Linked DNA regions of Sus scrofa. The main gene of each other region encodes a partner of the protein of the gene in region 4 in a complex. Links are inferred from orthologs where the notes say so. Each region holds a gene or a part of one and is shown on either strand. Other genes may lie near its edges. The genes, in order: TAF1D, ZNRD1, TAF1B and TAF1A.

Region 1 (7,733 bases), on a different chromosome or scaffold from region 4:
ACTCTAGACATTTCTACTTAAAGTAGGAATAATAAAGGCTCAAGTTTAAATTAAATACAGTCCTAATTTTACACCCTTTACAAGCTTTCAAAGAATGTCAGGATTTTATTTTCTTTCCTCATCAAAATAGAAATGAATTCCAATCCTGGGAGGCTACAATCTGAATAACTGGTTTAGAAATGCAAGCTCACAACCCAGAAAGCACCCAGCCACAGAAGACAGAGATGTAGTGTGTGTATAAGTGTGTTTCTGTGTGAGTGGGAGGTAGGAGGAGGAAGTTGGAGTTGGAGTGATGAAAGAAAGGGGTTAGAAAAGTCTTAATATAAACCCAGAGTGGCTCCGGAAGGACAGCTTTGGGCCACATGGAGGCAAACAATATTTTGTAGATTCCGTAGCTGGGACTCAGTGGTCTAGAAGCAGGGTCTAGAGAAGGGAAGAAAGAAAATAGGAGGCAGTTGGAAAAACGAAGCTGCAGAGACAATGCCTATGGGGCAGACCAACAATGACAACCAAACTGAGAACTATTTATTAACTGTATTCAATAAACCAGACACTACGTTAGACACTTTACACTCTCTCAAGACCTCTCACAACAAGGTATTATCCTTCTCATTTTACAAGAGGAAATAGGCCAGAGAGAATATATTATTTACTTCAGATCACTCAGCTATTAAGTGGCAGAAACAGAATTCAAAACCACCTCTAGTCCGGTGTAAAGTCAGAACCAACACATTATGCCATATCATGAACTGATAAAGGAAAGACACATTGCAGCTCACCATGAGGGAGAATTGTACAGAAGGATCCTATAGCACTCAGTATAACTGTCATCATCTGTTTGCTTTGTTTCCTTCCCTTAGACTACGATTTCTTTGAAGATAGGACTGGATACCAGCTCAGCCTTAATTTTTTTTATTGAGCATTTACAATATTCCACACGCAGCAGGTTCTAGGACAGGGCTGGCTTCATGCATGTGCAACTCCTATAGTCACACAGGACCATGTGCTCAGAGTAGCACTTGGTTTATGCTCTGTTGTCACCATCTTTCAATTCCTAACTTTACATTTGAACCCTTTAAGATGGAAAGGACCGTGGAGTATGTGCAATGCTTCTGCAGATGACTCAAACATTCTGATGTCTGTATTTAAAGCTAGCATTGGACAATATAAAGAGTGGTAAAACTCATGCTATTGATTCAAATGTTTAATTTTTCTTTACCTAGAATGACAATAAATAGCAAATTAATGCTATTAATTAAAACACCATGACAAGTCAAAAGAGATGCTACAGAAGAAAGGGGACAGCTTGTACTTCAGTAACTTTAACGGCATTTTCCCCCAGATTTTTGAACAAGACCCTGCATTTTCTTTCTTTCTTAAAATTTTATGGAGTTCCTGTTGTGGTGCAGTGGAAATGAACCCGACTAGTATCCATGAGGACTCAGGTTTTGATCCCTGGCCTCACTCAGTGGGTTGGGGATCCAGCAGATGTGGCTTGGATCCCATGTTGCTGCAGCTGTGGTGTAGGCTGGCAGCTGTAGCTCTGATTGGATCCCTAGCTTGGGAACTTACATATGCTGCACCTGCAGCCCTAAAAAACATAAATAAAATAGAATAAAATTTTATTGGGGTATATGTGATTTACCATGTTTATTAGCTTCAGGTTTACAGCAAAGTGAATCAGTTATGCATATAAAATACATGCATTTTCATTTTGTACTGAGCTTCACAAACTGCATATGCAGGCCTGCCTAGGAATATAGCAGTGACTAAGACATGTGATACCTGTCCTGGAGCTGACAGTACTTCATAATGCCTAGAAAACCAGACTTTCTGCGCCTGGAATTTAGAACAACATTTAGAGAAAAATTGAGTAAAGAAACCTGATTACCTTCCAGGTCTGTCCTATCCCGAGATGACACTAACCACAAATTAACACGAGACAGCTTTCCTGGTTTTATTATATGATACAAGAGGTCTGAAAGTAGACAAATCAGGACAGCTCATTCCTTTTTTGTAACTACTTCGGGGGAAAAAATTGCCACCAAAACTAAACTAGTTTAACTTCTACCTTAACACTCATTTACCGCTCAGGGAACTAAGAGGGCTAAAAAGAAAAAAAAAAAAGGCCCCCGCTGGCATCTCTTGCGATGTGTTAACCACCTCCTGGGAGGCTGACCCTTAGTTCCAAAAGAAAGACTGAGTTAACAAAACAAGTCCGAAGGTGGAGAGGGAACTGAGTGCGTAACTGGATAACAATGGCTTCTAGTACAAAGGTTACACATTTCGATTCTCAGTCACAGCATGATCCTCTCACAATTTTACACAGAAGAGATTTTTGAAGGCAAAAGTAGACACACACACAAACACACACACCCGGAATCAGACTTTGGAAAGTCGGAGGACAGCTCAGCAAAGGGAGACCACTGGAGTCAAAGCAGGAGAAGTGGCTCTTCCTCGCAGTTCACATTCATTCCGTTCCCCTGCCCCCACAATTTCTTTTTCATAGTTTGCCCAAACGTTCTTGACTATTCCATTTACCTTACCGGTTCAGGACGCGTACACCAGAAGCCTGGCCTGGCCTCAGTCAAGTCCGCCTCCCCTGGGTTAAAAAGCTCAGGTCCCGCCCACTCTAAATCGCCCCGCCCCTCGCGGCAGCCAATATGGAGCGCCGCGTCTGGTTTTCTCCTATCTCTCTGTTATTTCCTGCAGTCAAATTGTTATCGCGAGACTTCGGGGCCACTATTAGCTGGGACGCGGGACTAGCCCAGCCTTTTCTTCCGCGCGTTTGTGGAGGTTGGGTGTTTTCTGGGCCTGCGCGCCCAACGCGGGTTTCTGAGGCCGGGGCTGCAACCGAGGACGCCAACGGAGACCCGTGCGCAGAGCGGGCACAGGTTGGTATAAGCCGTCCGCGGTCTGGACGGATAGGAAAGAGGACTTGGGCGCCGGGGCCTTGTGGGCGAAGGAGGGGGAGGGCCTGGCGCTTTTCACTTTTCCCGGGACGCCTGCGCGGCTCAGCGGGAGCGGAGGGCTCGCGGTGATTGTGGGCTCTGCTCTGGGCGGCAGGACTCACAGGTACAGGCTAAGCGCGTGGGCCGTTATCGGAGTTGTGGGTGTTGAAGTGCAAGTGTATTGAAGCGAGTGCACGTTTTCTCAATTAGTGGTGGTTAAGTGCGAGGTAACCGTTACCGACGCCATTTTCCTTGCACGAGGTTAGGCACTTCTGGAGACATTCGCCCCAAGGTCGCACTAAGTAAGAGTTGAAGGGATTTTGTTAAAGCTGCTAAAGAGCACTGCCTGGCTCCGTGGCCCCTTGTTGCAGAATCCCGGAACAGGAAGCGATAGGAATGCTTTCTAGTTCCCGAAAGTTTTTTTTTCTTATTTTTATCCCCACACCCGCAGCATATGGAAGTTCCCAGGCTAGAGGTTGAACCGGAGCTACAGCTGCCGGCCTACACTACAGCCATGCAGAATCCGATTTGGATCTGTGACCCAAGCAGCTTGCAGCAACGCGGGATCGTTGAGTGAGGCCAGGGATTGAACCCGCATCCTCACGGAGACAGCGTCCCGTCCTTAACCCACTGAGCCACAATAGAAACTCTTGAAAAACATTTTTGAGTTAAGCTTACTTAATTTTGATAGTGTGCTCTGTAATTATTTTAAACTTAATGTCAGGTATTCCATCATTGCCATTGGATCCAGTTTTTGTTGAATTTCTTTTTTAGGCTGTTTTCATGATTTATTTCTTAGGTTAACGCAGTTTTGAAAACTGCAATAAAACACTATGAAATTATCACACGAGTCCATGAGACATTGTGAATTTAAGATCTAGGTGATCTTATTGATTTCTTAGATTTCAAATACTGCTGCTGAAGGATTTCTTTCATCATTACTCATGTGTCATTACTAAGAATGTTAGACTAAGAACACCACAAAAAAATGAAGAATGATGACATCCTCATAAGGAAATGAAACAGAACAAAATAAGACATCTTTAATACTTTTCCCAAACTACTGTAAAATCTTCCAAGGAGATTTTTTTTTAAAGGAGACAAAGGGCACCATTTATTGTAGTCTGTACATTGAAAAGTGAGAATTCAGAACTTTGGGTTAACACCCATAGTAGCAAAGAAGTAATTTATCAAGGAAGGGGTTTCACAGTAACTTAAAATCTAGTGAGGGAAAGAGGCCATAAATGAAAATTGCAGACCTGAAGGTTAGGTTTAGGTAAGTCCAAATAATTTTTCTGGGTATACTGAGGCCAAAGGCTGCCTTTGTGGGACTTAATCTTTGTTATGCAAGAGATTTCTTGGTTCCCACCACTGTTGGCAAATGGCTTTTTGGCCATTAATTGAACATTACTATTTGTAACTACATGACTGTATGGCTAAGGGTAAAAATTACATTTTTACTGTTAGGGAAAAGAAGTTTGACACTCCTGTAGGAAATCTGGAATCTTGTTCTATAGGATGGATTAAGTAGGCACAACTGAAAGAACCCATGAATAAAATCTTTAGATGTTAGAATTAGACAGTTGTATATGAGAATATTAAAGGCCTTACATTCATTTTTGTCTTAATTTTCGTAATTGACTACATCAATATCTGCATTACTCTGATCCTAGCTGTTTTGTTGGCATTTATTTGTTCAGGGAAACTACATCACATCTACCAGATTTCATATGGTCAGAAGTCTGTTTAAAGCAAAGGACAAGTGACAATTTTGAGAGGAGCTTGAAGACTATATATCAAGATGGATTCTCACAATTGTACAACAGTTTCTGATTCAGCTTTGGAAATTGAGAATCAAAGGTAAGTGTTTTTCTAAAAAAATGTCTACATAAAAAATATGCACAACTGTGAGTTAAGTTTTATTTGGGGCAAAATGAGGATTTAAGTCTAGGAGGCAGCATCTCAAGTAACCCAGAGAGAACTCTTGCAGGGTGACAAGGGGAGGGTCCTGTAACGAAGGGCAGATAACCTCAAGTTAAGGAATTCAGCACATGTCTTTGTATGAGAAGATGCCAAGGTCTGGGTTCACTGAAATAACGTCTTTGATGTGCACCTCAGCTGTCTCTAGCCAGTATCCCCTGTTTTTCCATCCTGAGTTTCCTCAGGGCTCACTATATGGTGTGGCTGCTGGCTGGCAGGTGTTTCTTGCCTGTGTTCGCTCAGGGCTCACCAGCTCACCATCGGAGGTGGCTGAAATCACTGATGACTGACATCCTTTGCTTACTGATAGAGCAGGCAGTGTTTTTATTTCTCAGTTAACTACCACCAGGTTTTCCTGGGAACAGACTAGGTGATAATGTTTACTGTATTGGAATTGCTGTGATAGCATGCATCATTGTAGATAATGAATAGTTTGTAAGGTAATTTTTAAGAATTGGAAAAAAAGGAAAACCCAGTTTCCACAGACTTTCGCTTTAACTACTTTGGAATAGTGGGACGTGTTTGTAACCCAGGGAATCAAATCAGGAGTGTATTCTCTGGGCCAAATTGGTATTTTCCTGACTAAATCATTCTGTTGTGTAACAAGAGAATGGATATTCTGATATTTCACATTATTAAGGATGCTGGTTTATGTATGATGGAGATAACCAGTTACCTAATCCATTGATCTCACTGGGAAATCAAATCAGCATTTCTAGTATATTCACATCAGGTATCTACTAGGGCTACTCTTTTTACTTAGAGGAGACTTTGTCTTATTTAGTGGAGGCTCTAGCAGTCAACAAGGCTGCCTTTGGAACTTAGAAGATCATTTTTTGGTAAGTGCTTGGCATTATGCCACATGGCATGGGCCATTTGAGGTAGAGTGGTCAGAATTAAGTGGTTGGCTGCTACTGAGACCATTTTTTCATCTGGAGTATGTTTTCCTGCTTTGATTTGTAAAAATACTCATAATAAGCATTGGTAATATATGAGTGCAATTCCCCCCCGCCCTTTTGAGGGGGGGAGTTCCCCGGTGTTCCCTTATCTTAGCAGGTAAAGATCTGGTCCTTGGCACTGGAACTTTTGTGCATGCTGCAGGTACAACCCCAAAAAAACTTTTCCTTTTTTTTTTTTCCCCTAGTGACAGCTCTTCCTCTGGAAGCAGCTTATTTAAAACTCAGTGTGTTCCTAATCCACCTAATCCACCTAAACAGAGGCAAAGAAACCCTATTAGAAAATATATTTACTCACCTGTAAGTATTGATACAGAAGATTCATCTAGTGACTCATCTATAGAACCAAGACCATTGACTTTAAAAGCTATTTTTGAAAGATTCAAAAGAAAGAAACGTAAGAAGAAGAAGAAGAAGAAGAAATACAAGCCAACTGGAAGATCAAGGGGAAGACCAAAAGGAAGGAAAAACACTAGAGTCTCACAAATAAATAAGATAAAATTTAAAGACAAAGGGCCTGGTTTCCCATTTTTAGAAGCAGAAAATGGAAGAAAACCATTACCTTGGAGAAAAATTTTAACCTTTGAGGTGAGTTGTCATTTCATATATGCTGATAACATAGTTTAAAATGTCTGAAATGAGTTGTTTGGATAAACCTGGGACATAGAATCTGTAACTTTGATGATACTTTTCTATATTTGGCTGTACTGCCAATTAAGTTCACTTATGCTTCTGGGTGGAACCTTCACTGGTATGTTAGTTGAATATACTGAATGTGAAGTGCTTCAAGGCTGTTTTTTTGGATTTTTTTGTTTGTTTTGTTTTTGTCTTTTTGTCTTTTTAGGGCCACACCCTGGCATATGGAGGTATCCAGGCTAGGGGTTGAATTGAGCTGTAGCCACTGGCCTACGCCCCAGCCACAGCAATGCCAGATCCAAGCTGCATCTGCAGCCTACACCACAGCTCATGGCAATGCCTGATCCTTAATCTGCTGAGCTAGGCCAGGGATTGAATGCTTCCTCATGGATGCTACTCACATTTGTTTCCTCTGAGTCACGACAGGAACTCCAAGGCTGTTTTAATACCTTGATTTTTACCAGGTCTTGAAACACATCATCCATCCTATCCCTAAAACTCAAATGATACCCTACCTTTTTTTTCTTTTTAGGGCCACACCTGTAGCACATGGAATTTCCCAGGCTAGGGGTTGAATTGGAGCTGCAGCTGCTGACCTACCCCACAGCCACAGCAATGTGGGATCTGTACCATGTCTGGACAGCTCACGGCAATGCCAGATCCATAATTCACTGAGCAAGGCTAGAGATAGAACCTGTGTTGTGTCTTCAAGTATACTGGTCTGTTTTGTTACCGCTGAGCCATAAGAGGAACTCTAAATGATGCCCAGTTGTTTTACAGTAACGTGCCTTTCAGTGGCTTTAGTAGGTTTCTTTTTCTTACAGACTTAATCAATTTTTTATTTTATTTTATTTTAGGCTTTTTAGGGCTACATGTGGCACATGAAAGTTGCCAGGCTAGGGGTTGAATTGGGGCTGCAGTTGGCCTAGCCACAGTCACAGCAACGCAGGATCAGAAACGTGTCTGACCTACACCACAGCCGGTCAGATCCTTAACTCACTGAGTGAGGCCAGGTATCAAATACACATCCTCATGGATACTAGTCGAGTTCATTACCATAAGCCATGCTGGGAACCCCAAGACACTCAATTTCTAACAGAATTACCTGACAGATGCTCCAATACTTAGCAGTAGGCTTTCGATATTTAAGTTAAGTGACTGCATAATTTGGAGTTCCCACTGTAGCATAGTGGATTGGTGATTGAGCGCT
Region 2 (7,624 bases), on a different chromosome or scaffold from region 4:
GTGGTGTAGGTCGCAGACGCAGCTCGGATCCCGTGTTGCTGTGGCTCTGGCATAGGCTGGCAGCTACAGCTCCAATTGGACCCCTAGCCTGGGAACGTCCATATGCCGCGGGAGCGGCCCAAGAAATGGCAAAAAGACAAAAAAAAAAAAAAAAAAAAATTTCTAAAATGTCCACCAGTATCTCTTGGTGTCAGATTTAACTCCAAATAAATTTAGATAATTAGGGAATACTTACAATTGCCTTTTTAAAAAAAATTTTTTTTATAGTTGCCTTTTTATATTAGCCTCATTCCTGGCTCCATTTTTTTTGGTCCTTCTTTTTCTTTTTGATGTACTAATTTATATTCTTTTTTGCAGCTGATAGATTTGTTGAAAGAACAAATATATCTCTGTAAGCTAACATAAATTTCTTTTGGAACAAGACACATTATAAATAACACACATATGTCTGGCTCTTAATAGAAAAATATTATTTTAATAAAGAAACAACTGGGGTAGGAGCACTCTGGGACAACAGTAATCCCCATGTGATGATCTGCTTTTCCTCTGGGAGAAAAACACTGCAGTCAGGAAATGGACAGAGGATCTAAGAATCCAACATTCTTCACTTTCCAAGGAAGAGGAGAAGGAGGGACTGTTAAGTCGTTCAAAAAAAAAAAAAAAGTCAAGAGTCTTCTTTCTCCTGGAACCTATAGAGAACGAAAGAACTTGTTATATTTGGCCAAAGGAAGAGAGTCTAGCAGTGTAAGGTGAGACAGTTAAATAATCAAAAAAGGATTCATTTATGACAGTGGAAGACTAGCTCTTCTAAACAACCCTCCACAAATTCAAGACAACTAAAAATGCTGGGATTGGAGTTCCTGTCATTGCTCAGCAGTTACAAATCGGACTAGTATCCATAAGGACGCAGGTTTGATCCCTGGCCTCACTCAGTGGGTTCAGGATCCAGTGTTGCCATGAGCTGTGGTATAAGTCACAGATGTGGCTCAGATCTGGCATTGCTGTGGCTGTGGTGTAAGTCAGAAGCTGCAGCTCTGATTTTCCCCCTAGCCTGGGAACTTCAATATGCCATGGGTGCACCCCCCCCAAAAAAAAGACAAATAAATTTTAAGAAATTAGCTTGCAAATTATGAAGGATGCCAAGATCTCTTAGAAAACAAAAAAGCACTCGCCATAAAAGAAAAGAAAAAAAAAAAAAAGATAAACCAGACCTCATAAAAATTAAAAACTTATGCTCATTAAAAAAAAGTTAGAGAGTTCCCGTCGTGGCGTAGTGGTTAACGACTCCACTAGGAACCATGAGGTTGCCGGTTTGATCCCTGGCCTTGCTCAGTGGGTTAGGAATCCGGCGTTGCCGTGAAATGTGGTGTAGGTTGCAGACGCGCTCGGATCCCGCATTGCTGTGGCTCTGGCATGGGCCGGTGGTTGCAGCTCCGATTGGACCCCTAGCCTGGGAATCTCCATATGCCGCAGGAGCGGCCCAAGAAAAAAATACGCAGAAAAAATAATACCATTAAAAAAAAGTTAGAAAATAAATAGGTCAGACTGGGGAAAAAATGCTCTCAAAAGATATAACCATAAATATTTTAATCCATTAATGAGATGTCAAGAAAGTAAAGGCAATCTTCACATTGGGTGAAGTGATGTAAAACCAGAAACCTAGAAGGTAAGTTAAAACTGAAGCCCTGGGTGTTCCCTGATGGCTCAGTGGGTTAAGAATCCCCTCTTGCTGAAGCTGTGACCAGGGTCACAACTGCGCTATGGGTTCAACCCCTGGCCCAGGAACTTCATATGCTGCTGGCACAGACGAAAAAAGGAAACCATCCTCCTCCCAGCTCCCAAGCCCTTGCTGCTTTGACAGCCACATGGAAGAACCAGAGATGAACCTGCAATATTGATAGGAGATACTCTGTCTGCATAAGTCTGAGCTCCCCAAAGGGCTTACCCTTCTGTATAAAAGTGAGCAAGAAAAAAAAAAAAAATTTTCTCTGCTGAAGAGAAATCTGTCTCACTAGGTAGAGGGAGGAAAAAAAAGTCCCCTGAGAATTTCTAACCATAACCTGGCCTTTATACTGGATTTGCAGCCAAAATCCATGTTACCTAGGTGCTCCCAAAGCTGAGAATTAACTTAGTGATTCCGCCTTGGTACTGCCTCAAGGCAGCTAAACAGTAAACGCAAATGCTGAATATACAGCATTCACCACAAGCCTCAAAGAATTCCCATAGTTCAAACTTTTAAAAATCTGAGCTTATAGTAAAAAAAGCACAAAACAAAAGCAGCACCATGAGGGAGTCAGCAGAAATAACAGATGGCAGCATCAGACCCACAAAAACAGTGGGTTTGAGAATTAACAGACATAGAACATAAATATCATGTTTAATGTTTACATGTAATATGTTTTATGAATAAAAAGAACCACTTAAAATATGATTAAGGAATTGGGAATTATTAAAAATAACTAAGATGATTTGAAAAATAATCAGGATTTCCCTTGTGGTGCAGTGGGTTAAAGTCCAGCACTGTCACTGCAGGGGCTAGGGTTTGATCCCTGGCCCAGGAATATCCACATGTTGCCGGCATGGCCACAAAAAAATCAAACAGAACTAAAAAATCTATCCAGAAACAGCATAAAGAGAAAAGAGATGGAAAATATGGGAGACAGGGTGAGAGAAATGGAGGATAGAAGATAAGGCCTAATAAAGAGCTAATCAGTTAGAACTCTAAGAATATGAGAACTGAGCATATGAGGGAAATATTCAGTGTGATAACAGCTGATAATTTTCCAAGGTTGATGGGGGAAAAAAGGTCAACCCTCACTGTTGGAAGGCCCAACACATCCCAAACAGGATAAATAAAAGAAAGCCACATCTTGATAGATTGTAGTGAAATTGAAGGACACCAAAGACAAAGAGGAATTCTTAAAACTATGTTTTAAAGAACCCATGTTCTGGGAGTTCTCGTCGTGGTGCAGTGGTTAACGAATCCGACTAGAAACCATGAGGTTGTGGGTTCGATCCCTGGCTGCTCGGTGGGTTAAGGATCTGGCATTGCTGTGAGCTGTGGTGTAGGTTGCAGTCTTGGCTCGGATCCCACATTGCTGTGGCTGTGGCGTCGGCCAGCGGCTGCAGCTCTGATTAGACCCTAGCCTGAGAACCTCCATATGCCTCGGGAAGCGGCCCTAGAAAAGGCAAAAAGACAAAAAAAAATAAAGAAATAAAAATAAAGAACCCATGTTTTTTAAATCATCCATGACTGACTCTCACCAAAGTAAAACTACCTTGAGGGCAGTGGAGGAGTCCAACATAACACACTGATCACAAACCAATACTCATTTCCTTTTAACTATTGTAAAAGGTTTAATTCACTGGGTATAAAAAGATAGGAAAAGAGTAATTATTTAAAATTTAAAAAGACCACAGAACTTCCCATCGTGGCACAGCAGCACAAGCAAATCCGACTAGGAACCATGTGGTTCAATCCCTGGCCTCACTCAGTGGGTTAAGGCTCTGGCATTGTTGTGAGCTGCGGTGTAAGTTGTGGACGCAGCTGGGATCCGGTGTTGCTGTGATCTGGCGTTGCTGTTGCTGTGGTGAGGCCAGAGGCTACAGCTCGGATGTGACCCCTAGCCTGGGAATCTCCATATGCCACGGGGTGCAGCCCTAAGAAGGAAGGAAGGAAGGAAGGAGGGAGGGAAGGAAGGAAGGAAAGAAGGAAGGAAGGAAGAAAGAAAGAAAGAGAGAGAGAGAGAGAAAGAAAGAAAGAAAGGAAGGAAGAAAGAAAGAAAGGATGGAAGGAAGGAAGAAAACGATCACAAACCTATTACTTGAACTGTACAGAAATGAAGGATGCGACCAGTCCAAAAAGTACAAAAATTAAACCACTGGATTTAAATTAAATCACGGGATTTTGGCAGCAAAGAGACCCAGAAGGGGCAGAATGGAGGGAAAGGATACGCACTTGCAGTTGGTACAGGTGTAGAAGACAGTCTGCCCTTCATCGGCTGAGCGCATCTGTCTGGTGTGGTATGCCATTCCCTCATGACCACAACGAGGACAGCGCCTGTCAACCTGGGAAGCAACTGGTAGGTTAATAATTCCCACTACTTCTCACAGACATCAAGCTACCACACTCCTCAGATACTGCTGGTTTTTGTTTTGCTGCACCTGCAGTACGTGTAAGTTTCCAGGCCGAGGATCGAACCCGTGCCACAGAAGCGACCTAAACCGCTGTAGTGACAATGCCGGCCAGATCCTTAACACCCGGCTGCACCACAAGAAAACTCTCCCCAGTCACTACTGTTTTAAAGACTCTTCTTCCCTGTTGTGTACAAAACTCTCCAGATCTGAGCCCTCCGTTTCGTTCCCACCCTCTTTACAGGGCCAGTCCTCGACGTGATTCACTTACCACGGGTCCCTGGAACTCAGGTCCTTCCTCCATCGACATAGGCATGGCTGTCCCCACTTTCTGGAACACAACTGAGGTCTTCACAACCTTCCCCTCAAAGTCTGCGCGGGCAGTAAGAATTGGTTGTGGAGACAGCGGAGGGGGCTGACACCACACTAATCCCTCTCTGTTAGGCCAGGAAGCTATATTCTACCCATCAGGTTTCGTGCCGACCAAAAGTATAAGTGCCTGATCCTGCGCTTTCGGGTCCCCGTCTTTAATCCAATCGATCTTGAGATCCCCATGGGCCCTCCTCCGCCCCAGCCGCGGCGTAGCAGCACCTCACCCCGCACGTTGATGGAGAAGCCACAGCGAGTACAAATGACCGCATCCTGAGTCCCGGGCAGAGGCAGGACCGAGCCGCAATCCGGACAGAAATCCAAGTCCGACTGAAAGCTAGAGGATGTGCGGGCGAGGTCCATGACAGACGGGTGGTCGAGGGCTGGGAAGGGGATGAGGAGTTTATTAAGAGAGTAGCCCCTTCCCCAGAGAGGTCATGCCTATTCTGTCCCTGGACGTAAGCATGCAGAACCCGAGATTTCTTCCTACGCATACCTTGTGCCTCTGTGACTAAGGAGCCCAAACTTCCGGAATCCCTATCCCGCGTCGGGTACAACTACGCTGGGGGTCTTTCCTGGGGCAGGCGAGAGGAGCAAGTCAACTTCACGGGCTAGAGCGCCGGCTCCGCGCGGGCAACCGAGCAGCGAGCGCGTGGCGGGCTAGAGAGTCCACGCGTCCCGGCTCTCGATTGGCTGTGACGTCATAATTAATTGCAACTGTGATCCCGAGAGCCTGGAGAGGGAGAGGAGCGGTTCTGAAGGAAGATTGTGGCGCCCCCTTCAGCCTGGTTCTGTTACGTTGGATACGAAAATAGGTGACGAAGCTGCGCCTGCCTCAGGTTATTTTTTCCCTTCAGGACTCAGTCCTGGGATGTTTATTTTATTGGTCTCGAATTTTACCAGGACCCAGTCGCGGGGAGCGTTTCTCCTGAGAAGTCGGACCAACCTTATAGAGTACTAATTTATTTATTTGGACTGGAGAACTGCAAACTCCAGCGGTTCCTGAATCTGCACTTCACTGTGGCGGTTGGACAGTGGTAGAAAACAAAGCGAAATATTCTGGGAGTAATTCTAGCATTCTTTGGGCCTTGCGACCCAAGCAAGGGCTCTCTGCAGGACCCGGTATGGCTCATGTGCTTTGGTGGCTGTTGCCTTGTCTATAGTGTAGATCACAGTTGCAGCTTTGATTCAGACCCTAGCTTGGGAACTTCCATATACCACAGGTGCAGCCTTAAAAAGAAAAAAGAGAGAGATCATGGTATTTGTAGATTAAAAATCATAGTTCCCACTCTTTATATGTTTAAATTTCAGCATCAAAATGTTTTTTGTATTTTGAGTTCATGTTGTGGCACAGCAGAAACAAATCCGACTAGAAACGATGAGGTTGTGGGTTCGATCTCTGGCCTCGCTCAGTGGGTTAACGATCTGGCTTTGCTGTTGCTTGAGCTATGTTTCGTTTTGTTCTTTTGTTTTTCCTTTTGTTTGTTTGTTTGTTTGTTTGTTTTGTTTTGTTTTTTGTTTTTGCTTTTTTTTGCTTTTTAGGGCTGCACTTACAGGATATGAAGGTTCCCAGGCTAGGGGTTGAATCAGAGCTACAGCTGCCCACCTATGGCACAGCCACAGCAACATAGGATCTGAGCCATGTCTGTGACCTACACCACAGCTCAGGGCAAGGCCAGATCCTTAACCCACTAATCGAGGCCAGGGATCAAACCCGCAACCTCATGGTTCTTAGTTGGATTTGTTTCTGCTGCACCACAACAGGAACTCCCATGACTGATTTTCAAATAAATTGTAGAAGTTATATTTTTTACTTCTATTTTTTACTTTGTATTCATCGGAAGGCAAAAATCACTGATACAGGAGTTCCACTCTATGGCAAAATGGGATGGGCAGCGTCTTGGGAACACTGGGACAAATGTTCAATCCCTGGCCTGGCACCATGGATTAAGGACCCAGCTTTGCCTCAGCTGGGGCTTAGGTTGCAACTGTGGCTCAGATCTGTTCTCGGCCCAGGAACTCCATATGCTGCGGGGTGCCAAAAAACAAAAACCCAAAACCTCACTGATACATAGAGTAGACTGGGCAGACTTAATAGTCTGGAGCTTGACCTATGGAGGATAGACAACTGCCATTTATTGAGACCTTACTGTATTTTAAGCATTGTGCCAGGCTCTTTAATCTAATTGTCACTTATTCTTTATAACCCCAAGAGGTACATTTTTTCAACGAGGAAACTGTTTAGAGAGAGATTGTTACTTGCCCTGAATCACACACCTGGGAATTAAAATTCAAGCATAGGCCTGTCAGGCTCCAAAGCCCATGCTCTAAACCATAACTTGTATAAATAAAGGCGTAGAGATGAAATGCCAGGCATCCTCAGTGGCTTAGCTACGACCTCACAGTAGACCAGAGATGACACACAAAACCTGATAGTCCTCACTTGTGTTGCCATCAGCCTGTCCTATAAATAAACCCAGAGTAACCACAAATTTTCATCCCAAGGAGGTCAACAGGGAATGGCCTCATAATGGATTTAGGGTAAAGGATGATTGGCAGAGTAAAGCAGACAAGCAGACTGGTGGTTGATCAAATAAGAACAGAATTTCACCATCAAATAGCAGAATATCAGAACGAAAGATTATAGGGTAGAGATGCTGTATGTTGTGATAGAGGCAGAGAGGGCCCGGCTCCAGAAACTGCACAAAGAGAATGAACTGATAATACCAAAGCCTAGAATTATCTCAGAAGACAACAGAAGCTATGGGACTGAGCAATATGTCAGAGATGGGCTTGGGCATTGCTTCACCAAGAAGCCTGTCTCTTCCTTCTCCCAATCCCTGGTGCAAGATTCAGAATGGTTCGCCTTGAATCCACAGGAGAAGTATGCTGTTAGTTTATATGAAAGGATTACAGTTGGCCCTCTGTATATGAGGATTCCCCATCCACAGATTCAACCAACTGTGGGTGGAAGATTAAAAAAAAAAAAATCTAAGAAGATTAAAAAAAAAAATTCAAAACTTGAATTTGCCCTGCACTGGCAACTATTTGCATAGTATTTATGTTGTACTTACTACTTACATTGTATTTGCAACTATTTACAAAATTTTTCCATTGTAGT
Region 3 (6,966 bases), on a different chromosome or scaffold from region 4:
ACAAGGGGGAAGAAAAGAGATAACGGGGGAATTTATGAACCCAGACGCTCAAGGGAGATCTCGACCACCTGCCAGGTATGGACTTTCCTCGGATTCTGAGTTATTTAAAAAATGACGCGACAATCAGGACAATCTAGACACTTGACGGACGCTTGACGTTAAGGAACTACCGCGAGTCTTTTACGTCTGATGAAGGAGAGGCTGCCGTGCGGGACCCGCACCCTCACCGCCTGCGAGTACAGGGGAAGGAGCGAGCGGGACGCGGGCGAAGCTGGGCTGGACACGCTGGCAGCTGCTGGAGTGGGGTGGCGATGGCTACGGGGGTCACTGCGCTGTGCTCGCTACTTTGGACGGTACTTGGGACGTCCCGCAACACAGGGGTTTTAAACCCGGTTCACCGTATCCAGGTACTGGGACTGTACACCGCACACGGCCCTAAATTCCTGAGAGAATTTTTCTGTTTGGACCACCGAGCTCTGTGGTGACCAAGGATAACGAACCACTCCTGGTTCTTTCATCTGTGAAACAGGAAAAAACAACGACATCTCCTCACAGGATGGCAGAGGACTGAATGAGAATATATAGTAAGCACTTCCCCAATGGTTGGCACACGGCAAGGGCTCAAAAATATTCACTTTCCCTACACGCCTTTAAAGGTGATTTTTTAAAATTTCCACTTAAAATCTTAAGGCTACTTTAATAATATGCCAAAAAAGCTATGGCCTACTATGTTTACTGCTAGGCGATGTAAAAGCCTCAATTGTTTCTGTGCTGATTGTTTTAATGGAAACAAAATATATAGGGATTCTCACAAAAAAAGAAGAGCCTCTTGGCTTTTCTTCTTCTCTAATTTCACTTTATTTTATTTTCTCTTTTGTCTTTTGTCTTTTTAGGGCCGCACCCATGGCATATGAAGGTTCCCAGGCTAGGGGTCCAATCGGAACTGCAGCTGCCGGCCTACACCACAGCCACAGCCACTGGGATCCGAGCCACGTCTGTGACCTACACCATAGCTCACGGCAACACTGGATCCTTAACCCACTGAGTGAGGCCAGGACTCGAACCCACATCCTCATGGTTGCTAGTCGGGTTTGTTAACCACCGAGCCACAACAGGAACTCCCTTCTTATCTAATTTTAAATTTTAGCTATATTAAGAGAGATTCTTTCAGACAGTATTATCCAAGGAGGGGAAAATGACGTTTCCCTTACGTAGGGACTCTAGGGAAAGCTCTACTTTTACAAGAGAAAGATAAGAAAAGGTATACAAAGCATTTGCTAACGTAAGGACTTTTCATTTCTAAGCTGAATCAATAATAGTATCTTTTAGGGTATACATTCCTTATCATAAACTCAGAAAATTATCCTAAAGTTGTAAGCGATAAAATCAAATATACGATAATTTACATTGATTAGGAAAGTTAGCTCCACCTCAGACAAGAAGGATCAACCGCCCGGCGGGTCTGGAGGCTCATGCAGCCTCCCCCTCAGTTCTCGAGGCTTCGGGGTTCTCACAGTTACTCTGCAGTACAGTGTCTGTCTCTTCCGAACCCTCAAAATGAGCCCTTCAGCGTGACAAGGTTCTCCACATAGCTGAAGATCTGCTCTCTTAAGCACCAAAACCTTTCGTTTTAACCATTTGGGGTGGAAATCTTTAAAAACTGAGTTATACATTATTTGGTTATCTTAGAGCACATTCAACATGTTCTTTTAAAGCGCTTATATTACATGGTGACAAGTTATCCACTTTTATAGTGGTAAGAAGAACAAACCCCACGAGTGCACACAATTTGGGACCATGCTCCACCCTCGAACTGGGACTCGGTCAGGCTTGCTTGGTTCTGGGCAGTGATCCCGTGTCTCTGAAGGGCCATCTGAATTCTTTGGTCTGCTTCTCTGCCAGTCCCTACACTGTCTGTCAAAGGAGTAGCACCACATTTGCTGTCAGGACGCTTATCAGCAGAGTAGCTCTCAGTCTCTCTCCTACTCAGTTCCTCTTGAAGAGGAAACTGGAAATCAGACAGCTCAGACACACAGACACACACACATACACACACACACACACACCCCTCTGGGCAGTGTGTGCGGGCTCCGAGTTAGGGGCTAAGGGGTATCCTGAGAAAAGCGTATAGTTTTAGTCATGGACTTGGTGACCTTTTTACTAAGATTGGCTAAACCCTTTTTTGCTCACCCTGTGGTTCTAGGCTGTAGTCTAAATAGACAAGGTGGCGGTCCCCGCTGTAGCACAATGGGTTAAGGAGCCGACAACAGCTCTGCAGCCACTCAGGCTGCTGCTGAGGCGCAGGTTTGATCCCCAGCCTGGTGCAGTGGGTTAAGGATCTGGCCCTGCTGCAGCTGTGCCGTAGGTGCAGTGGGTTAAGAATCTGGCCCAGCTGCAGCTCAGATTCGATCCCTGGCCCAGGAACTTCCACATGCTGCGGGTGTGGCCCAAATAAAAAATAAGTAGATTAAAAATAAATAGGCAAAGGTAACCGGACAGCTTGGGTGCTCAAAGTTACGGCATCGCTGGTGCCGTGCTCCGCCGTCAAATGCACGCAGGGAAAAACATCTCGACAATTTCACCTCTGACTCCATCAATGTCTCTTTATAACTAACCGTCTTCTATTACAGTATTAAACCCATGAAGAACATCTAAACTTTGGATCATGTAAAAAGCATGAAGGTGTCGCCCCCACCCCAACTCCTCCAGAACCAGCTCTGCAGGCAGAAGAGCAACAGCGCCTCAGGTCCCAACTTCCCGGTCCTATGGGGCGCGGTGGGGATGGGGACGGAGCCCGCCAGCCAGCATCATAGCTTTTCCCTTCCACTTGATGAAACCGTAAATCTTGAAGAAGCCACTGCACTGACCCCTCGAAGGACTGTATCGCCCTCAGATGCAGAGCTGACCCGGGGGTTGGGATTCTGGCCTTTCGCTGCTGCTGTTAAGACAGGGACACTCCTTAACCACTCCAGACTCCGCTAAACTTTTTTTAAGCAGTAAACTGTAATGCGGATGACTTCATTTCATTGTCTTCTATTGTGTTTTCTACACTGTACTCATCTTCGATTGATATTCAACTCCGGAAGTTAAATTCTAATAAACATCATTTTGTTAAATCACGGTGATCATTTACTGCGCATTTACTGTGTGACAGACACACCCAACTCGTTTAACTCTCCTAAAACCATACGAGGAAGCTTCTGTCTTCCATTCATTCACTCGACAAACACTTAGGAGTTTCTGTTGGGCTCAGTGGTGAACGAACCCAACTAGGACCCATAAGGACGCAGGTTTGATCCCTGGCCTTGCTCGGTGAGTTAAGGAACCAGTGTTGCCGGGAGCTGTGGTGCAGGTCATAGACGCAGCTTGGATCCTGTGTGGCTGTGGCTGTGCTGTAGGCCGGCAGCTGCAGCTCTGATTTGACCCCTTGCCTGGGAACCTCCATGTGCATCGGGGACAGCCCTAAAAAGACAAAAACCAACCAACCAACCGTAGTGAGCACCTACTATGTGCCAAGCCCTGTTCTGTGGGAAGGCAGATGAATACACGGAATAAATACATAATCACACAACACATTCCCTCGTGACGCGAGCTATAAGGAAAAAGAAAGAACAAGCAAGGGGGACAGAGAGTGATGAGGTGTGTGTGTGGGTGTGTGGGCGTGGGTGAGGGTGACGGCTGGTGATATTTCAGACATGATGGTTAAGAAAGGCCTCTCTGAAGAAGTGAAATCTGAGCAAAAACCTGCAAGTGAGCCCATGTAGAGACAGAGCAGAAGAGCGTTCCAGGCTGAAGGTATGACATGTGCCCAGACCCGCCATGGAGTGTGTCAGGCAAGTTCAGGAAGAGCCAGGAGGCTGGTGTGAACAGGGGTGGTGAGCAAGAGAAGAGGGGGGCAGGGGAGGTCAGAGAACAGAGGGGGTCTCCCGACTTCACTCTGAAATGAGACGGGAGCCGCCAGGGGTTTTGAGAAGAGGAGCCAGGTCAGCATCGCCCCTCGCTTCCCAATCAGGGCAGCAGAGCTGGGGAGCTGGAGCACAGCTTGCGCACCACCAGCAGGGCTGGGATGCGGGCAGCTGCATTCGCCAGCGCATCCCCTGCACGACTGTGGGGACCTGCCCTGGGGACGATGCCTGCGTCGATGTGTAAGGAGGTCGGTGTAAAGACCTAAGGTCTCAATGAGAAATGTCTTTATGATCTAAAACTTCATCCTGCTTTGCTGACGTATCATTGACACACAAGCTATGTAAGTTTAAGGCTATAACAGGATGATTTTTTTTTTTAAATCATTTTGGCTGCACCTGCAGCATGGGAAAGTTTCTGGGCCAGGGATTGAACCCACGCCACAGCAGTGACCTGAGCCACTGCAGTGACAACGCCAGATTTTAAGCTGCTGAGCTGCAAGGGAACGCCACAACAGGATGATTTGATAGTGTCTATACTGTGAAATGAGTACCACAACAATCAAAGGCAGTTAACACCTCCATCCCTAACACTCATAAACGAGGCTCAGTGTGTAATTCTGATGGTTTTGATTATAAGCTCACCATCTTCTAATCCCATCAAACAACCTACCTGGCTCTCATTACAGCCTGACTCCTTTAGAAGATATCCAGCCTATTTTTTTTAATTAGCAAAGAATACTACTTCACGCCAAACGAAAGATTTCGTCTTTTTTTTTAAATCCTGTCATTTCTTTCTTTTTCTTTTCTTTTTTTTTTTTTTTAGGGCACACCCGTGGCATATGGAGGTTCCCAGGCTAGGGGTCGAATCGGAGCTACAGCTGCTGGCCTACACCACAGCCACAGCAATGCTGGATCCCAGCCGCGTCTGTGACCTACACCACAGCTCGTGGTAATGCAGGATCCTTAACCCACTGATCGAGGCCAAGGCTTGAACCCATCATAGCCTCATGGATGCTAGTCAGATTTGTTTCCACTGAGCTAGATGGGTGCCCCCATCCCGTGCTTTTTTTTTTTTTGGTCTTTTTGCTATTTCTTGGGCCGTTCCCGCGGCATACGGAGGTTACCAGGCTAGGGGTCCAATCGGAGCTGTAGCCCCCGGCCTACACCACAGCTACAGCCACTCGGGATCTGAGCCGCGTCTGCGACCTACACTCCAGCTCACACTCCAGCTCACGGCAACGCCAGATCGTTAACCCATTGAGCAAGGGCAGGGACTGAACCCGCAACCTCATGGTTCCTAGTCGGATTCGTTAACCACTGCGCCACGATGGGCGCTCCTACTCCGGGATTTCTAAGAGCATCACACACACCTTCTACAGAATTTCTGGGTACTCAGCCAGTACAGGGAATTCTTGGTTGTCAGTGACTGGCCTTTCTGCTTCAGGACCCCCTGGAGGCTGTGTTCATGGAAACAGGTTCTATCACTGTCCTCTGCTGTCCAGTTGAACTGAAAACTTGAAGGGCTTCTTTTTTCAACACTGGGCGTGGAATCAATCAGTGTGCTAAATTGTTTTTGTAGACTCACCACCATTTCTGGAAGGAAGGGAAAAAAAGAAAAGGAATGAAATAAAAACTAATGTCAAATCACAAATAAAGACTGCAGATTACCTGACAGTAAGGTACCAGAGCTGGCGTCTTAGTTTTGACAAATGTACAGCAAATGAAAGGCAAGAGGGTAACACTGAGAGGAAACGGGAACTGGACGAGGGGCGCCCCGAAAGTCAACTTGGAAAGGTTTCAAACAGTAAATTTTATGCCATCTATATTTTAACACAAGTCTTAAAAAGAATGAGAACGACAACCAAAAGCAGTTCTCCAAATGAAGGGTCTGAAAGTCACAGACACACAGCATTTCAGATTTTGTGGGAACTTAACTTCCGTTTGGAGTGAGACACTGATCCTGAACTAGACACTGAAATTTCTTTCGGAGGTGGCGTTCCTTGGGAGTGCGCTTTGGCGCCTTGTTAACGCAGTGGGGAAGCACGTCTGTGTCTCCCTTCAGGTCAAGACACCCAGCTTTTCCGCCACTGTGCTGCTGCTCGGCGGCGACGGGAGGAAGTCCGACTCACCTCTTCTTTTATAGACCACTGGTTTGTCGATGGCTGAGTGGTAGAGTGGCCTTTCACTTTTCCATAGATACCTGTGAACGCAGAAAACCACTTGGAGCAGGGCGGAGAAGAGATGACCCCAACACGCTTACGACGACCCCTGAAACTCCTGAGACTCGGGTAGAAGGACCTCCTGCAGGACACAGGTCTCTACAGAGGGTACGACCCAGAGGTAAGCAAGGAGCACCGCAGGAGGCAGCAGTCGCAGCCGACAGAAGGCCCTGCTCCGCCCCAAAGCCTCCCAGAGGCCACACGATCCCCAAGAAGCCATTCGTTACATAAAACCGCAGCAGCGGTGTCCCTCCCCGTGAAATCCCCTTGCTGTCCTCTCAAAGTGAAGCCGCCTGAGACATAACCGCTGCCCCCGGCCCTGGCCGCGCGGCGGCCTGCAGATGCTGCCGACCTGTCAGCACCCCGGAGCGGGCACCTCTCGGCGGCCGAGGGGCAATCACCTAACAGGCGGGGCCTTCCCGAAAACCCTGAGTGAGCTGGACTTGAACGAACCACACAACACGCCAACTGTTCAGAGGGCTTGCCGTTTGTGATTCGTTCAAATACCTTTCCGTTACGTATTTTACCAAATAATAAAAGTGACAATATACCCAAGGCAAAAAAAAAATCTCTAAAAATACAGACGTTCCCTAAAGATTCTAACCCCACTCCCTAGATAAACCCACTGTTACAAATTCCTCACGAATACCTAATACAGACAGATTCTCTTATGGATTTATAGTAAACCCCTGTACGGGTGGCAACCATGCCACAGTCAAGGAGGCCGTATCGCCTCCTTGGGGTCACCTGCCCGGAAGATGGGGAAGGTGGGTGGTCTGAGAAACGCTCTCTCTAGAACCTTCCTTAAAAATTTACTTTACTTCTTCCCCCAACTGCAAAAG
Region 4 (6,966 bases):
GCAGTTCTTTCTGTTGTTGCTGCGGTGAAGCAGAGGAGTTTTGGGGGCAGATATTCGTGAACACCGGTGATAAATGTGTGTCATTTCTAAGCACTGAAGACAGTGGTGCCGATTGCTGTCTGATGTGATAATAGCATCGCCTAACACCTTGCTTGCATAGTCACTGCACCTGTAGTACAAAGGTGTTTTTGGAGTTGAGGTTTTCAGGTTCCCAAGACAGGGGCTGTTTAGCGTGAGCTACTGTAGCTCTGTCACATAGAAATGGATGGAGGTTGTCAGCAAACTGAACCATAGCAGTTGAAGAAAGCTGCAGGAACCTTTTTGTCAGCTGAGTGTGCTATATGGCTGATAACAGGTTTCCACTCTGTATGCACAGGAGGGTACAGTGTACACAGGAGGGTAAGGCTGGCAAAGTACAATGAACTTGGAACATCTTAAATGCATTTCCTGGCAAATTTTCACACATTAGGCTGCTTTTTAAAACAAGTGTTTCGGGAGTTCCTGTCATGGCTCAGTGGTTAACAAATCCAACTAAGAACCATGAGGTTGCGGGTTCAGTCCCTGGCCTTGCTCAGTGGGTTAAGGATCCGGTGTTGCTGTGAGCTATGGTGTAGGTTGCAGACACAGCTCAGATCTTGTGTTGCTGTGGCTGTGGGGTAGGCTGGTGGCTACAGCTCCAATTCAACCCCTAGCCTGGGAACCTCCATATGCTAAGGAAGCGGCCCAAGAAATGGCAAAAAGACAAAAAAAAAAAAAAAATTTAAGTGTTTCATAGTCAATGAGTTTGTAATAGAATATTGTTTCAATGTGATCATGCATACATAGATCATTTATTTTTATTGAGGTACTTTAAATTGGGGTAAAAGAGAGATTTGCTCCCATGCAAAAGAAGAGCTCCAAATTCTCAGCCAGAGTTCTGGTCCTCTGGGCAGAAAATATTTTAATTAAAATGTGTTCAGAGCTGATGAAAGATTTTGAATTGGAGTTCCAAGTATAGACTAACTATAGTCAACAGTCGCTGACCTTGGAGGATTCTTAAGAACCATCCACTTGCTCGCATGTGGTGGATGCTAACGATGGGGCCAGAGCAGTGAGGAAGTCAATGTTAATTGAACCTGAACTTTCTGAATTTACTAGTCTTCCTCCAATACTAATTAAAAATGTTACTTTCAATATGTAGCTTAACCTCCTACCTTCTTTAGACCACTAACTTAAAAATGACACTGTTATAGTTACCTGATAATTTAATCAACACAAGATTTTTTTTTTTTTTTTGGTTAAGATATGTTGGTTTTACTGGGTGAAGTACAGTAAAACATTGACAGTAGTGGTATCTAGGGAAAGAAATCATAGTTTGTTTTTTAATGTTATAATCAGAAAAACATAGCTTTCTTAGATATTGGCGAAGGCAAGGATTTTACATTTTTGTTGGTAATTTCTGTTTTGACAGATTATTTGGAGGCTTGGAAGTGAAATTCTTTATTATCATCCTAATAGCAGTGTGGAGACGTTCAATACCTTTGCTGACCGGATGAAAAACATTGGCGTCATGAATTACTTGAAGGTGAGAAAGGAGGCTTGGTGGATTTGCACCTGCAGTGTTCACTTGCGGAAGGTGCTGGTCTGAGTGCTGAGACAGTAACAGCGTAAAAAGCATAGAAGGTTGAGACAGTTGGATCACTAGGAGAAGCTGAAACTGGAATTTTTATATTGCCCTCCCCCAGGGTGTGACGCTCCGATCAAGGATTGACTTTCCCTCTGAACCAGTGCCCTTCTCCCACAGCCCTTGTTCAGGTGTTTTCGCTGCATTTATGTAGCATGGATAAAAGAGGATGTATTGATTACCTGCTGTGGGCTAAGTGAGGTCTTAGCTTGTGAGCCGATGCCATCTCATTGAATTCCCCATAATGCCCTTTGAAAGGGTTAATAGTTATCATTCCCTATGAACATGAGACACACTAGGGGAGAGTAATTTCCTCAGGCTTATTTAGCTTTAAAGTAGTGTTTGACCAGAACTCTGTCTTCAGAGCCCTGTTCCTTTCACACTGCCTGCTGTGTGTGTTTTTATGTACTTTGGCTCACATTTACATAATCATCTTTTCATGTGTCTTTTTGCTAGATTGAAATTTTTGATAATGGGGGCAGTGTTACTCCATTGTGTGTGTCCTCTCAAGGTCTTACATAGCTCAGCGTATATCGTATGTTTACTGAGTTTTGGACCCTGGTTGTGTAATGGCTGTGAGCTGAGATGGTGGGCTTCTCAACCGTTGCAGATCTCCTTACAACATGCATTGTACCTTCTGCATCATGGCATGCTTGAGGACGCCAACAGAAATCTCAGCCAGGCAGAGACGTGGCGATACGGTGAAAAGTCATCTTCCCAGGAAGTGTTAATTAACCTTATTCAGGCCTATAAAGGGCTTTTGCAGTATTACACGTGGTCTAAAAAGAAGATGGAGCTGTCTCAGCTTGGTGAGTGCATATGAGTGAACTTTTCACTCGGTGATAGGGCTGAACCTGGGAGGGAGGCCGTCTTAAGGAGCAGTCTCTCTCCCCTGCCCCGCAGCCTGGCTTTATCCAGGGTGTGCAGAGAACAGACATTTCTGTGATCTAAAATTCTTGACCCCCCTTTATAATCTTTCTGGTATTTCAAAAAAACTATTCAGACATGAATCAGATGATTCACAGATTAAGTTCATGACCATTTTATTACTTTTTATTAAAATATAGTGGATTTACAGTGTTGTGCTCGTTTCTTTTGTACAGCAAAGTGACTTCATTATGCACGCACATGCGTTCTTTTTCTTCAGTACTCCTTCAGTCGTGCTCTGTCCCAGGACACTGGGTAGAGCGCCTCGTGCTGTCCAGCAGGACCTCGTTGTTGTTTATCCCTCCTGTGCATTTCCCAGCCCCAAACTCCCCATCCATCCCTCTCCCTCTCCCCCTCAGCAAACACCAGTCTGTTCTCTGTGTCTGTGAGTTTGTTTTCTGTCCTGTAGATAGGTTCATTTGTGCCAGATATAAGTGATACCATATGGTATTTGTCTTTCTGACTGACTTCACAGTGTAAGAATCTCTAGTTACATCCATGTGGCTGCAAATGGCATTATTTTGTCCTTTTTTATAGCTGAGTAGTATTCCACTGTGTATATGTACCACATCTTCTTAATCCATTCATCTGTTGATGGACATTTAGATTGTTTCCAAGTTTTGGCTGTTGTGAATAGTGCTGCAGTGAACATAGGGGTGCATGGATCCCTTTGAATCATTGTTTTGTCCGGGTGTGTGTGACCATGAACATGTGCTAAGAGTTAGCTTAGGATTTTTCCTTGTTGCCGTGGCTGCTGCTGGTTGGGTTTGACTACAGTTGGGTGTCTGGGAACCCCTTTCCACAGTAAATCCACACCTAACTTATACTTAGGAATCTGCCTTTTTTCCTTTCAAGATTTATTTTTTATTTTTATTATTTATTTATTTATTTATTTATTTTTCCCTCTGTACAGCATGGGGATCAAGTTACTCTTACATGTATACATTTTTCCCCCTCTTTGTTCTGTTGCAATATGAGTATCTAGACATAGGTCTCAATGCTACTCAGCAGGCTCTCCTTATAAATCTATTCTAAGTCGAATCTGATAAACCCCAAGCTCCCGATCCCTCCCACTCCCTCCCTCTCCCATCAGGCAGCCACGAGTGTATTCTCCAAGACCATGATTTTCTTTTCTGTGGAAAGGTTCCTTTGTGCCGTATATTAGATTCCAGATATAAGTGATATCATATGGTATTTGTCTTTCTTTCTGACTTACTTCACTCAGTATGAGAGTCTCTAGTTCCATCCATGTTGCTGCAAATGGCATTATGTCATCCTTTTTCGTGGCTGAGTAGTATTCCATTGTGTATATATACCACATCTTCTTAATCCAATCATCTATTGATGGACGTTTGGGTTGTTTCCATGTCCTGGCTATTGTGAATGGTGCTGCAATGAACATGCAGGTGCATGTGTCTCTTTTAAGTAGAGTTTTATCTGGATATGTGCCCAAGAGTGGGATAAGATTTATTTTTGATGTTTCATACCTACTTTCCCATTATCACTTCATTTCCATATATGTGTATGTATATATTTGTTTTGCTTTTAAATTGAAATATAGTTGATTTACAGTGTGTTAATTTCTGCTGTATAGTAAAGTGGTTCAATTATAATATATAAATATACACATTCTTTTCTATATTCTTTTCCATTATGATTTATCTCAGACTATTGAATATAGCTCCCTGTGCTCTACACTAGGACCTTGTTGTTGATCTGTTTTATATATAATCGTTGGCATTTGCTAACCCCAGACTCTCCCAACTCCTCCCCGTCGGCAGTCACAAGTCTGTTCTCTATGTTGATGAGTCTGTTTGTGTTTTGGTTCATTTGTGTCATATTGTATTTCATTTTTTTATTTTTTGCTTTTTTGGGCCACACGCACAGCATATGGAGGTTCTCAGGCTAGGGGTCGAATTGGAGCTACAAGCTGCCGGCCTACACCACAGCCACAGGCACACCAGATCTGAGGCATGCCTGTGACCTACACCATAGCTCCTGGCAATGCTGGATCCTTAACCCACTGGCCAGAGATCGAACCCATGTCCTCATGGATACTAATTAGGCTGAGCCATGACAGGAACTCCCCATTTGTGTCATATTTTAAATTCCACAAATAAGTGCTATCACACGGTGTTTGTCTTTCTTTTTCTGACTCTGATACTGTATCTTTCTTCATTCATCTTGTAGCTTGATTTCTTCCTTTCCAATTGGACATTGTTTATATTATTTTCTTGCCGAGTTGCCCTGGCTAGAACCTCCATTACAGTGGTGAATGAAAGTGGCAAAGAAAGGACGGTCTTTTGCATGAAGCCTTTCCCTGTTAATTGTGACATTCAATATGGGTTTTTTTCACAAGAAACCTTTCATCAGATTGAAAAGTTTCTTCTATTCCTACTTGTTGAGTATTTTTATCACGAAGCGTTATTACATTTTGTCAAATGCATTTTCTGCAAAAGTTGAGATGGTTGTGAGGTTTTTGTCATTATTCTATTGATTTGGAATATTGTAGTACTTGACTCGGGTGTTAAACAACCTGGAATAGGCCTCACTCGGCATGGTATAAAATCCTGTTTATTTGTTGCTAGGTTCAGTTTGCTAGTGTTTTGTTGGGTTTTTAAAAATCTATGTTTGTAAGAGATACTAGTCTTTTGTTTTCTTGTGTTGTCTTTGATGTTGGTATCAGGGTAATATTGGTCTCACAAAATAAGCTGAGAAGTGTTTTTTTCTCTTTTTTGGGTCATTGAGTTTGCGAAGAATTAGGGCTGTATTTTAAGTGTTTATTAGCATTCACCCGTGAGGCCATCAGAGTCTGAGCTTTTCTTGTGGGTCGCTTGTCAGTTACTGATTCAGCTAAAGTCCTCAGTGCTGAATGACTTTAATAGTTTGTTTCTCTCTGCACAGATAAGGAAGATTATGCTTTCAACGCGGAGTCCCAGACGCTGCTCAACCACAGCTGGAAGACGTCTGTAAACCTGTGTGCGTTGATTCAGACTCCTGGAGTTTGGGACCCGTTTGTGAAGAGTTACGTAGAGGTAAGTGGACTTTTCATAAATGTCTATAAATCTTTGTGCTTTGATTCAAATTGCTGGAGTTTGGGACGCATTTGTGAAGAGTTATGTGGAGGTAAGTGGACTTTTCATAAATGTCTATAAATCTTTGTGCTTTGATTCAAATTGCTGGAGTTCAGGACGCATTTGTGAAGAGTTACGTGGAGGTAAGTAGACTTCTCATAGTTTCACCAGTTTCATTCTGTTATAAGCTTTATCGTTATTGATTAGAAGGCAACTAATGGAGAAAATGGTTTAAAAAAAGGGAATATGATGCCACTTTTTTTTTGTCTGCATAATTTTTATTTTACCAAAGTACCTTATATTTTCTCTTACCAACATGCTGTACATGTGACGGTATTTTTTTCACCCCTGGATAGCATGTCGTGGCCAAATACAGTTGTCTCTCAGTAGCCGTGGATGCTCAGTCTTTATGTGTGCAGTGTTTGCATATAACCTATGCACATCCTCCTGTTGACTTTAAATCACCTCTAAGAGTACTTATAAAACATGTAATAAATTGTAAATGCTATGTAAATAGTTGCCTGTGTACAGCGCATTCAAATTTTGCATTTTGAAAGTTTCTGAATTTTTTTTTTTTCTGAATCTTTTCCATCTGTGGTTGGTTGAACCCTAAAATGAGGTCTGAGAGGATTCAGGGCCTGTGGCTGATGCTGACTCTGTTTATAAAGTTATTAGCCTTCTAGTTGTAAGTGTCACTTCTGTGTTCTTCTTGAGCTTCTGAGAAAAGCAGAAAGTTCTCTTATGATTTGGTGGGGTATTGCTGGGAAGGAGCTAAAACTCTGGAACTACGTCACAAATATGAGACGAAGAGTGGCTTTCAGAGGCTCTTAAGGATGTCCTGCCATCTCAGAGTCACTGTGAAAGGACAGAGCGCGCTGGCCCTGGGCGGTGGGAGTAGTTCATCAAAATAATTTGCTTTTTGGCTTTCTTGCTGCCCGGCCGTCTTGGCAGCTGCTTGTGGTTGGGGGCGTCACGCACCTAAGGCAGGAAGATGGTGGCCACAAAGAAGATGAAAAAGTTGCTGGAGTCAATCAACGCTCGGCTCCAGCTCGTGATGAAAAGTGCCAAGTACGTGCTGGGGTACAAGCAGAACTCCGAATGACCAGACAGGGCAAAACGGAACTGGCCATTCTCGCCAGCAGCTGCCCAGCCTCGAGGAAATCTGAAATCGAATGTCACGCCATGTTGGCCACAACTGGTGTCCATCACTGCAGTGGCAAGAATATCGAACTGGGCACAGCACTGGCCATCACTGATCCAGGTGATTGTGGTATCATTGGCAGCATGCCAGAACAGACTGGC

What was found.
Region 1: TAF1A (region 4) and TAF1D share a complex: the UniProt entries of both Homo sapiens proteins name them as parts of the transcription factor SL1/TIF-IB complex. The link is inferred for Sus scrofa from reciprocal best matches to the Homo sapiens genes TAF1A and TAF1D.
Region 2: TAF1A (region 4) and ZNRD1 share a complex: the UniProt entries of both Homo sapiens proteins name them as parts of the pol I pre-initiation complex. The link is inferred for Sus scrofa from reciprocal best matches to the Homo sapiens genes TAF1A and POLR1H.
Region 3: TAF1A (region 4) and TAF1B share a complex: the UniProt entries of both Homo sapiens proteins name them as parts of the transcription factor SL1/TIF-IB complex. The link is inferred for Sus scrofa from reciprocal best matches to the Homo sapiens genes TAF1A and TAF1B.

Annotation. Positions count from the first base shown.
Region 1 is NC_010451.4:26,162,293-26,170,025, reverse strand, and holds the start of TAF1D (TATA box-binding protein-associated factor RNA polymerase I subunit D), read left to right. Parts: upstream 1-2,743; 5' UTR 2,744-2,894; intron 2,895-4,651; 5' UTR 4,652-4,752; coding exon 4,753-4,811; intron 4,812-6,075; coding exon 6,076-6,475; intron 6,476-7,733. UniProt on the Homo sapiens protein: Component of the transcription factor SL1/TIF-IB complex, which is involved in the assembly of the PIC (preinitiation complex) during RNA polymerase I-dependent transcription.
Region 2 is NC_010449.5:22,624,379-22,632,002, reverse strand, and holds ZNRD1 (DNA-directed RNA polymerase I subunit RPA12), read right to left. Parts: upstream 5,133-7,624; 5' UTR 5,000-5,132; intron 4,887-4,999; 5' UTR 4,867-4,886; coding exon 4,731-4,866; intron 4,507-4,730; coding exon 4,406-4,506; intron 4,069-4,405; coding exon 3,959-4,068; intron 690-3,958; coding exon 665-689; 3' UTR 446-664; downstream 1-445. UniProt on the Homo sapiens protein: Core component of RNA polymerase I (Pol I), a DNA-dependent RNA polymerase which synthesizes ribosomal RNA precursors using the four ribonucleoside triphosphates as substrates. Can mediate Pol I proofreading of the nascent RNA transcript.
Region 3 is NC_010445.4:126,528,818-126,535,783, forward strand, and holds part of TAF1B (TATA box-binding protein-associated factor RNA polymerase I subunit B), read right to left. Parts: intron 6,106-6,966; coding exon 6,035-6,105; intron 5,499-6,034; coding exon 5,276-5,498; intron 1-5,275. UniProt on the Homo sapiens protein: Component of RNA polymerase I core factor complex that acts as a GTF2B/TFIIB-like factor and plays a key role in multiple steps during transcription initiation such as pre-initiation complex (PIC) assembly and postpolymerase recruitment events in polymerase I (Pol I) transcription.
Region 4 is NC_010452.4:11,351,253-11,358,218, reverse strand, and holds part of TAF1A (TATA box-binding protein-associated factor RNA polymerase I subunit A), read left to right. Parts: intron 1-1,450; coding exon 1,451-1,564; intron 1,565-2,273; coding exon 2,274-2,472; intron 2,473-5,494; coding exon 5,495-5,625; intron 5,626-5,632; exon of another isoform or gene 5,633-6,966. UniProt on the Homo sapiens protein: Component of the transcription factor SL1/TIF-IB complex, which is involved in the assembly of the PIC (pre-initiation complex) during RNA polymerase I-dependent transcription.